2 linked regions of the Saccharomyces cerevisiae S288C genome follow. The protein of the gene in region 2 binds, or shares a complex with, the protein of the main gene of each other region. Each region holds a gene or a part of one and is shown on either strand. Other genes may lie near its edges. The genes, in order: RAI1 and RTT103. A codon is read from its position in the direction of its gene.

The links.
Region 1: the proteins of RTT103 (region 2) and RAI1 are in contact, whole or in part, in a cryo-EM structure (PDB 9FMS), measured with the Saccharomyces cerevisiae proteins. Residues at the interface, in NP_010575.1 of Saccharomyces cerevisiae: Asp257 (codon at 1,231), Ile259 (codon at 1,225), Ile260 (codon at 1,222), Pro261 (codon at 1,219), Thr262 (codon at 1,216), Tyr263 (codon at 1,213), Glu264 (codon at 1,210), Asp267 (codon at 1,201), Asp269 (codon at 1,195); in NP_011268.1 of Saccharomyces cerevisiae: Thr16 (codon at 1,946), Ala17 (codon at 1,943), Leu18 (codon at 1,940), Lys19 (codon at 1,937), Gln20 (codon at 1,934), Pro21 (codon at 1,931), Asn98 (codon at 1,700), Arg208 (codon at 1,370), Lys215 (codon at 1,349), Trp265 (codon at 1,199), Cys268 (codon at 1,190), Phe269 (codon at 1,187), Gly272 (codon at 1,178), Pro299 (codon at 1,097), Val300 (codon at 1,094), Lys303 (codon at 1,085), Cys313 (codon at 1,055), Leu314 (codon at 1,052), Ile317 (codon at 1,043).

The regions. Positions count from the first base shown.
Region 1 is NC_001139.9:36,790-40,515, forward strand, and holds RAI1 (decapping nuclease), read right to left. Parts: upstream 1,992-3,726; coding exon 828-1,991; downstream 1-827. Other genes in the region: BRR6 (Brr6p), read left to right, coding at 144-737; glutamate--tRNA ligase GUS1, read left to right, coding at 2,234-3,726. UniProt on the Saccharomyces cerevisiae protein: Decapping enzyme for NAD-capped RNAs: specifically hydrolyzes the nicotinamide adenine dinucleotide (NAD) cap from a subset of RNAs by removing the entire NAD moiety from the 5'-end of an NAD-capped RNA.
Region 2 is NC_001136.10:1,037,511-1,041,434, forward strand, and holds RTT103 (Rtt103p), read right to left. Parts: upstream 2,000-3,924; coding exon 770-1,999; downstream 1-769. Other genes in the region: Smc5-Smc6 complex subunit NSE3, read left to right, coding at 1-596; HRQ1 (ATP-dependent 3'-5' DNA helicase), read left to right, coding at 2,218-3,924. UniProt on the Saccharomyces cerevisiae protein: Involved in transcription termination by RNA polymerase II and in regulation of Ty1 transposition.

The sequences.
Region 1 (3,726 bases), on a different chromosome or scaffold from region 2:
ACGTAGATGAAAAGCGGAAAAATTCATTACCCGGGAGCAAGCAAAATACTAGTAGTAACTAATGAAACTTCTTTCCATTATTATTGATGAGTTAACTTATGTAGACTCATCTTTGAATCCCCTATCCCAACATAAGTCCCGGAATGGAACTCCGTAGTTTTTCTAGACAGCCTGATGGCATACTTGCTAACCCAAGATTGGGAAGGGAGGAAGTATTGGAAGGTGAACATCCGCAAGATGCTAGATTAGCCCGACAAAGCATTTGGTTGAGCCCAAGTTTAATTGCGGAGTATATACAGCTTTTTTTCAATTTTATTATAGGAACTATAGGACTGTCTCTTGCTATTAAATTCATTTTGATGATAAGAAACGATGTTAACTTAAAACTGGAGCATAACGTGAGGGAAGAATTAGATAAAATTGCAACTTGCAAATCAAGGTATTTTGAAAACCAGTGCGAACCTCATATGAGGGTTCCAGCATTGGAGGTACGTTGCAATGAATGGTCAAAATGTATGAACAAGGAAATAGTGTCTGGCTCCGATTACCAATGGGCTAAAGCATGGGCTCGTACTCTGGCGGAGGTAATAAATGCTTTTTTTGAAGCGTTCAGTATACGATCTTTCCTTTTCATTTTAATTAGCATAATAGGTATAATATTTGTTACCAATACGAGTTTCGGATCATACAGGGTTTATCTCAATAATAAAGATACAAAATCGGTTCGCCATGCATAGTGTATATAACTTAATCTAATCTGCACATTTATATTATTTAGATCCATACGTCGATGAGGATATGCGCAGGAAAGACATAAAGGAATATTGTTATTTCAAAGATTTTCTCCACTCCTTAAACCCGTTCGATAATATATGTTCTCCATCAATCAAACCTGAATATTCCTCATCACTTTCTTCAATTTCGGATAATCTTAGGTGATTATTTTCGAAAACCAACTTAAATGCTCTTATTTGAGAATGAGGATCCTCATCTCTTGGTATCATTTTCAAAAGCCACTCAGTAAGGAGACCATACCATTTAATGGCTTCTAAACATGCACTTCCAACTTGTGGATTATTGTTCTTTAATAAAACAGGTACTTCCTCCGTTGAAAACTCTTCCACAGTTTTTAATACATAATGGTCGTCTTTAAAACCATATATGATCCTTGGGATCCCAACTAAGAAGCATTGCAGCCAGGTCCGGAACAGTTTACGCTCAAACTTATGCGTATCCGATATGTTCGCAACTTGCTGCGTACATTTCAATTCGGCATAATGTTTTAAATTGTCTCTACCGTTTTCTTTAAAGTCAAATATACAATCCACCTCAGCACCAAGAATTAACTTGCAGTTACCTACACCAGTTCTCACAACACTAATGTATTCATCTCCATGCGATACAATCCTTTTAGTTCTTTTTTCTATCACTTCACGGGGTGTATACTGCAACGGATTGGAAAGAGTAGCCAAAGTTTCAAACTTGTACCCTGTAAATACATTCAGATCTTGATTTATATTACGCCCTGCTTCAGTTGCAGAGGAAGCCTTAGCTGCATTGACAGCTTCAGGCACTTCCTTGATAAAAAGTTGGCCGTTGAATGAAACGATACGAAGATCAACTGTATTAAAAGATGGAGAGTCAAATGCACATGAAATTAATTTCCGTGCTATTCCTCTAAAAGTAATTATATCAGCATTAATTTTTTTTCCTTTATGTCTTTCAGAGCTTTCTATGGTTTCTAATAGCCCACGCAGGGAACACCTGTCTTCAAAATCTTTGTAATAATCCTTAAATTTCTGAAATCCTGATGAAAGATCCAACTTCCTGTCCAATTCAGCGTCTGGAAGATAGTAGTAATTCAAATTCGTATCATCGCTAATTAAATATTCTTCATCCTTAGTTCTTGAATAGAATCCTATTTCCTTTGGCTGCTTCAGAGCTGTTGTCGACCCTCTTTGCTTTACGAACAAATTTGCACTAACACCCATTGGGATACACTATGTTGGTCTAATATTTCGCTATTCTTTCACCATATTACAGAAGTATTAGTAACATTACCAGACCTCATCTGTTCCTAATATTCTCGAAGTAAATTTTTCAATTTACCCGAATGCTTACTCTTTTTTTCTTCTTCGTTAAAAGCAAGATAAAGTGAAAAAAATGGAAGATAACTTCCATAAGAATGACGAAACTATTTTCAAAGGTTAAGGAAAGCATAGAAGGGATCAAGATGCCATCTACCTTGACTATTAATGGAAAAGCCCCAATTGTGGCTTATGCTGAACTAATTGCTGCTCGTATTGTGAATGCGTTAGCTCCTAACTCCATAGCTATTAAGTTGGTGGACGATAAGAAAGCACCTGCTGCCAAGCTCGATGATGCTACTGAAGATGTCTTCAACAAGATAACTAGCAAATTCGCCGCCATCTTCGATAATGGTGATAAAGAGCAAGTTGCTAAATGGGTTAATCTGGCCCAAAAGGAATTAGTTATCAAGAACTTTGCTAAATTATCACAATCATTGGAAACACTAGATTCTCAATTGAACCTAAGAACCTTTATTCTTGGCGGCTTGAAGTATTCTGCCGCTGATGTAGCATGTTGGGGTGCTTTAAGATCCAATGGTATGTGCGGTTCCATCATCAAGAACAAGGTTGATGTTAACGTTTCTCGTTGGTACACTTTGTTAGAAATGGATCCCATCTTCGGCGAAGCTCACGATTTCTTGAGCAAATCTTTACTAGAATTAAAGAAAAGTGCTAATGTGGGTAAGAAGAAGGAAACTCACAAGGCTAACTTTGAAATTGATTTGCCAGATGCCAAAATGGGTGAAGTCGTCACTCGTTTCCCACCTGAACCTTCTGGATACTTACATATTGGACATGCCAAAGCTGCCTTGTTGAACCAATATTTTGCTCAAGCTTACAAGGGTAAGTTGATTATTAGATTCGATGACACCAACCCATCGAAGGAAAAGGAAGAATTCCAAGACTCTATTTTGGAAGATTTGGATTTATTAGGAATCAAGGGTGATAGAATAACCTACTCATCTGACTACTTCCAAGAAATGTACGACTACTGTGTTCAAATGATCAAGGATGGTAAAGCTTACTGTGACGACACTCCAACTGAAAAGATGAGAGAAGAACGTATGGATGGTGTTGCTTCTGCCAGAAGAGATCGTTCTGTTGAAGAGAACTTAAGAATTTTTACCGAAGAAATGAAAAACGGTACTGAAGAAGGTTTGAAGAACTGTGTTCGTGCCAAGATCGATTACAAGGCTTTGAACAAGACTCTAAGAGATCCTGTCATTTACAGATGTAATCTAACCCCTCACCACAGAACCGGATCAACTTGGAAGATCTACCCAACTTATGATTTCTGTGTCCCAATTGTTGATGCTATTGAAGGTGTTACCCACGCTTTACGTACCATTGAATATAGAGACCGTAACGCTCAATATGATTGGATGTTACAAGCTTTGCGTTTGAGAAAAGTCCATATTTGGGATTTCGCTCGTATCAATTTCGTTAGAACCTTGTTGTCTAAGAGAAAGTTACAATGGATGGTTGACAAGGACTTGGTCGGAAATTGGGACGATCCAAGGTTCCCAACTGTCAGGGGTGTGAGAAGAAGAGGTATGACTGTCGAAGGTTTGAGGAACTTCGTCTTATCCCAAGGTCCATCCAGAAATGTCATTAACTTGGAATGGAACTTGATCTG
Region 2 (3,924 bases):
GCAATACAAATAAATCAATGCCTGAGCCACTGGGACATAGAGCCCAGAAATTTATCTTGCTAAACAATGTCCCGCACTCAAAAAATTTTGACGATTTCAAGATTTTACAAAGCGCTCACACTTATGAAGAGCTAATAGTTACCGGAGAGTATATTGGTGACGATATAGCTTCAGGAACTTCCAATACCTTAGAAAGCAAGTTGAGTACAGATCGAGATCTTGTTTACAAGGGTGTTTTGAGCGTCATTTTATGCATTGTTTTCTTCTCTAAGAATAACATATTACATCAGGAATTGATCAAATTTCTAGAGACATTTGGCATTCCAAGCGATGGTTCAAAGATTGCTATACTGAACATTACTATTGAAGATTTGATAAAAAGTTTAGAAAAGCGCGAATATATAGTCAGATTGGAGGAGAAATCCGATACCGACGGGGAAGTGATATCATACAGGATAGGTAGAAGAACTCAGGCTGAGCTTGGACTAGAGTCTCTTGAAAAATTGGTGCAAGAAATCATGGGCCTTGAAAAGGAGCAGACTAAAAGTTTGCACGATGATATAATAAAAAGCATTGGCGATTCATATTCTATATAGCATTGCATAGGTGTCCATGTAGTTTAGGTGCGCATCTTTTTTGTCGAGGAAATAGTGAAGATGAATACGAAATAAACTATGGGCAAATAGTTACGAAAAAAGACTGGACTTAAACGGGTTACTATATATTTGTATAAGTTATCTCCTTGTTTTCTTTTTACTCAACCATCATATTAATTTGCAAGCTTACTTAACAAGTCTTGTATACTAGAAGAAACCCCTCCGGAATTCTCAACACCTTCGTCGGTTTGGGCGCCGACGTGGCCTTCTATATCTAACTCATAATGTCCATCCTCACTGTTGAAAGTACCATCTTCACTCGTCTTCGAATCAAGATGAACCTTTTTTTCCGGTATGTCATTAGCGTCATCATGACCTATCATATCATGTGTTCGTTTCATACCAAATTGATTGTCACTAGGATTATGAGTAGAGTTTTTATGTTCGCTATCTGTCTTTTCTACAACTTCATTCTTCTTATCTGTGGTGCTAATATTAGTAACGCCATAATTGCTGTCATTGGATCTATCATCGTAATTTTTGTCATCATCATCATCATCATCATCATCATCATTATCACCATCATCGTCATCGTCATCTCCATCCCCCACTTCATACGTAGGAATAATATTGTCTTCATCAACGTTTTTATTTAATCTGGATGGGTCTTTAGCAGATAAAACGAATTCTATTTCACTTAACATATTCTGTTCCTCATCTAGATGCCTTTTTTCATCGTCCAGTGTGCTTTGCAGTTTATGGATACCGCTTTCTCTTTTTAGAATTGATTCATTTATTATATCTTTAGCCATGTTCCCAATCTTACTTATTGTTTTAAAATTTTCCTCGTAAACTGAGCTGGATGGATCCAATTCATCTGATGATTTGTCAAATCTCATTTTCATCGCGCAAACATTATGGTGCATTTTCACTAATTTTTCATAGTCCTTAGCAAAATCTTTCAATTTCTGGGGTAACACCAACGCTTCCACTGGTGAGCTCTCGGTTTTAAGACTTCTTTCTATGTCATTGACTACCTGCTTGGAAAATATATTTCTTTCTTTTAGTATATTCACAACTCTTGACAACTTCTTTTTTAGGTCCCTCGGAAACTCTTGATTAATTCTTCCCAATACTTCTGCTGCCACCTTTCCAAAGGAATCTTGAAATTGAATAATTTTTTGACCTTTAGCCTGTTGAACAACATGATTCATTAAGTAAAGACCCAATAACTTCCTTCTTGTGTTTACACTAGGCCTTAACATGTATTCTTTCCACATTTCTGCCACTTTGGGAGCATCTCTATACTGTAGAAGCAACCACTTTGAGGCACTGGAAATAGATTCTTGGGAATCTTCCAACGTATTTAATTTGGTTGTGAATTGCTCAGAAGAGAAAGGCATACCGTCTATTTTAATCTTGGATTATTGCTTTCTTCAAATTTTCTACCTCTTCGTTAAAACCTTCTTCGCTTGTACTTATATTATTATGTTGGCTTTTCAAGTTTATATATTTTTAAAGGAAAAAAATAACTTTTTCATTTTTCGTTATAAAACAGAACCGTTATACATATTGAGATGGTTAAGGTCGTAGAAAAGAAATGTTCATTTGAGAAGGAAAAATGGAGGAAGGACCTATCAAAAAGAAACTGAAGTCAGCAGGTCAAGGGAGTGGAAAGACCGATGCCTTTAGAAATTTTGAACAATTTTTTTTCCGCCTTAATACTCTTTACACCTTTTTGATTTGCAGAAAGCATGTTGTGCCTACATTTAAAACACTTTGTGGACCTATAGAAACTGCTTTGAAAAGAACTGTGACGAAAGAAGACCTAGCCATGGTTATGGCGCTAATGCCAAGAGAATGTGTTTTCAAGTATATTGATGAGAACCAAATTTATACTGAAACTAAGATTTTTGACTTCAATAATGGCGGCTTTCAGCAGAAGGAAAATGACATATTTGAACTGAAGGACGTTGATGACCAAAATCAGACTCAAAAATCTACTCAGTTACTTATATTTGAATTTATAGACGGTACAATGCAACGCTCATGGTCTGCAAGTGATAGATTTTCTCAAATAAAGATACCAACATATACTACGGAGGAAATGAAAAAGATGATTTCTAAAAGGGAAGCTCTCTTTAAATCCAGACTACGGGAATTTATCCTGGAAAAGGAAAAGGCTAACCTTGACCCATTTTCTGAGTTAACAAATCTAGCGCAGAAATATATTCCAAGGGAGAGAGATTATGAGGATCCTATTGAGGCAATGATGAAGGCGAAGCAAGAAAGTAATGAGATGAGCATTCCCAATTATTCCAATAATTCAGTGATAACAACAATTCCTCAAATGATTGAGAAATTAAAAAGTACTGAATTCTACGCTTCTCAGATAAAGCATTGTTTTACAATACCATCAAGAACAGCGAAGTATAAAGGTCTCTGTTTTGAGCTTGCACCGGAAGTATATCAGGGTATGGAACACGAAAATTTCTACAGCCATCAAGCAGATGCGATAAACAGTCTTCATCAAGGCGAAAACGTCATTATTACAACATCGACCTCTTCAGGTAAATCCCTTATTTACCAACTAGCAGCTATCGATCTTCTTTTAAAGGATCCTGAATCAACGTTTATGTATATATTTCCAACAAAGGCCCTGGCACAAGATCAAAAAAGAGCATTCAAGGTAATACTTTCAAAGATCCCCGAGCTAAAGAATGCCGTGGTTGATACGTATGACGGCGATACGGAGCCAGAGGAAAGAGCTTATATTCGTAAAAATGCTAGAGTTATTTTTACCAATCCTGACATGATACATACCAGCATTTTACCTAATCATGCAAATTGGAGACATTTTTTGTACCATCTAAAGTTAGTGGTGGTCGATGAATTGCATATATATAAGGGTTTATTTGGATCGCACGTGGCATTAGTGATGAGACGTTTACTAAGACTGTGCCACTGTTTTTACGAAAATAGTGGTTTACAATTTATTTCATGTTCTGCAACTTTAAAGTCTCCAGTACAACATATGAAGGACATGTTTGGAATTAATGAGGTTACGCTAATACACGAGGATGGCTCACCTACAGGTGCTAAGCATCTAGTGGTGTGGAATCCTCCAATTTTACCTCAACACGAACGTAAACGAGAAAATTTCATTAGAGAGAGTGCAAAGATATTGGTACAATTGATATTGAACAACGTAAGAACCATAGCATTTTGCTACGTTCGTCGTGTTTGTGAATTGTTGATGAAAGAAGTTCGCAATATTTTTATTGAAACTGGGCGTGAGGATCTGGTTACAGAAGTCATGTCTTACAGG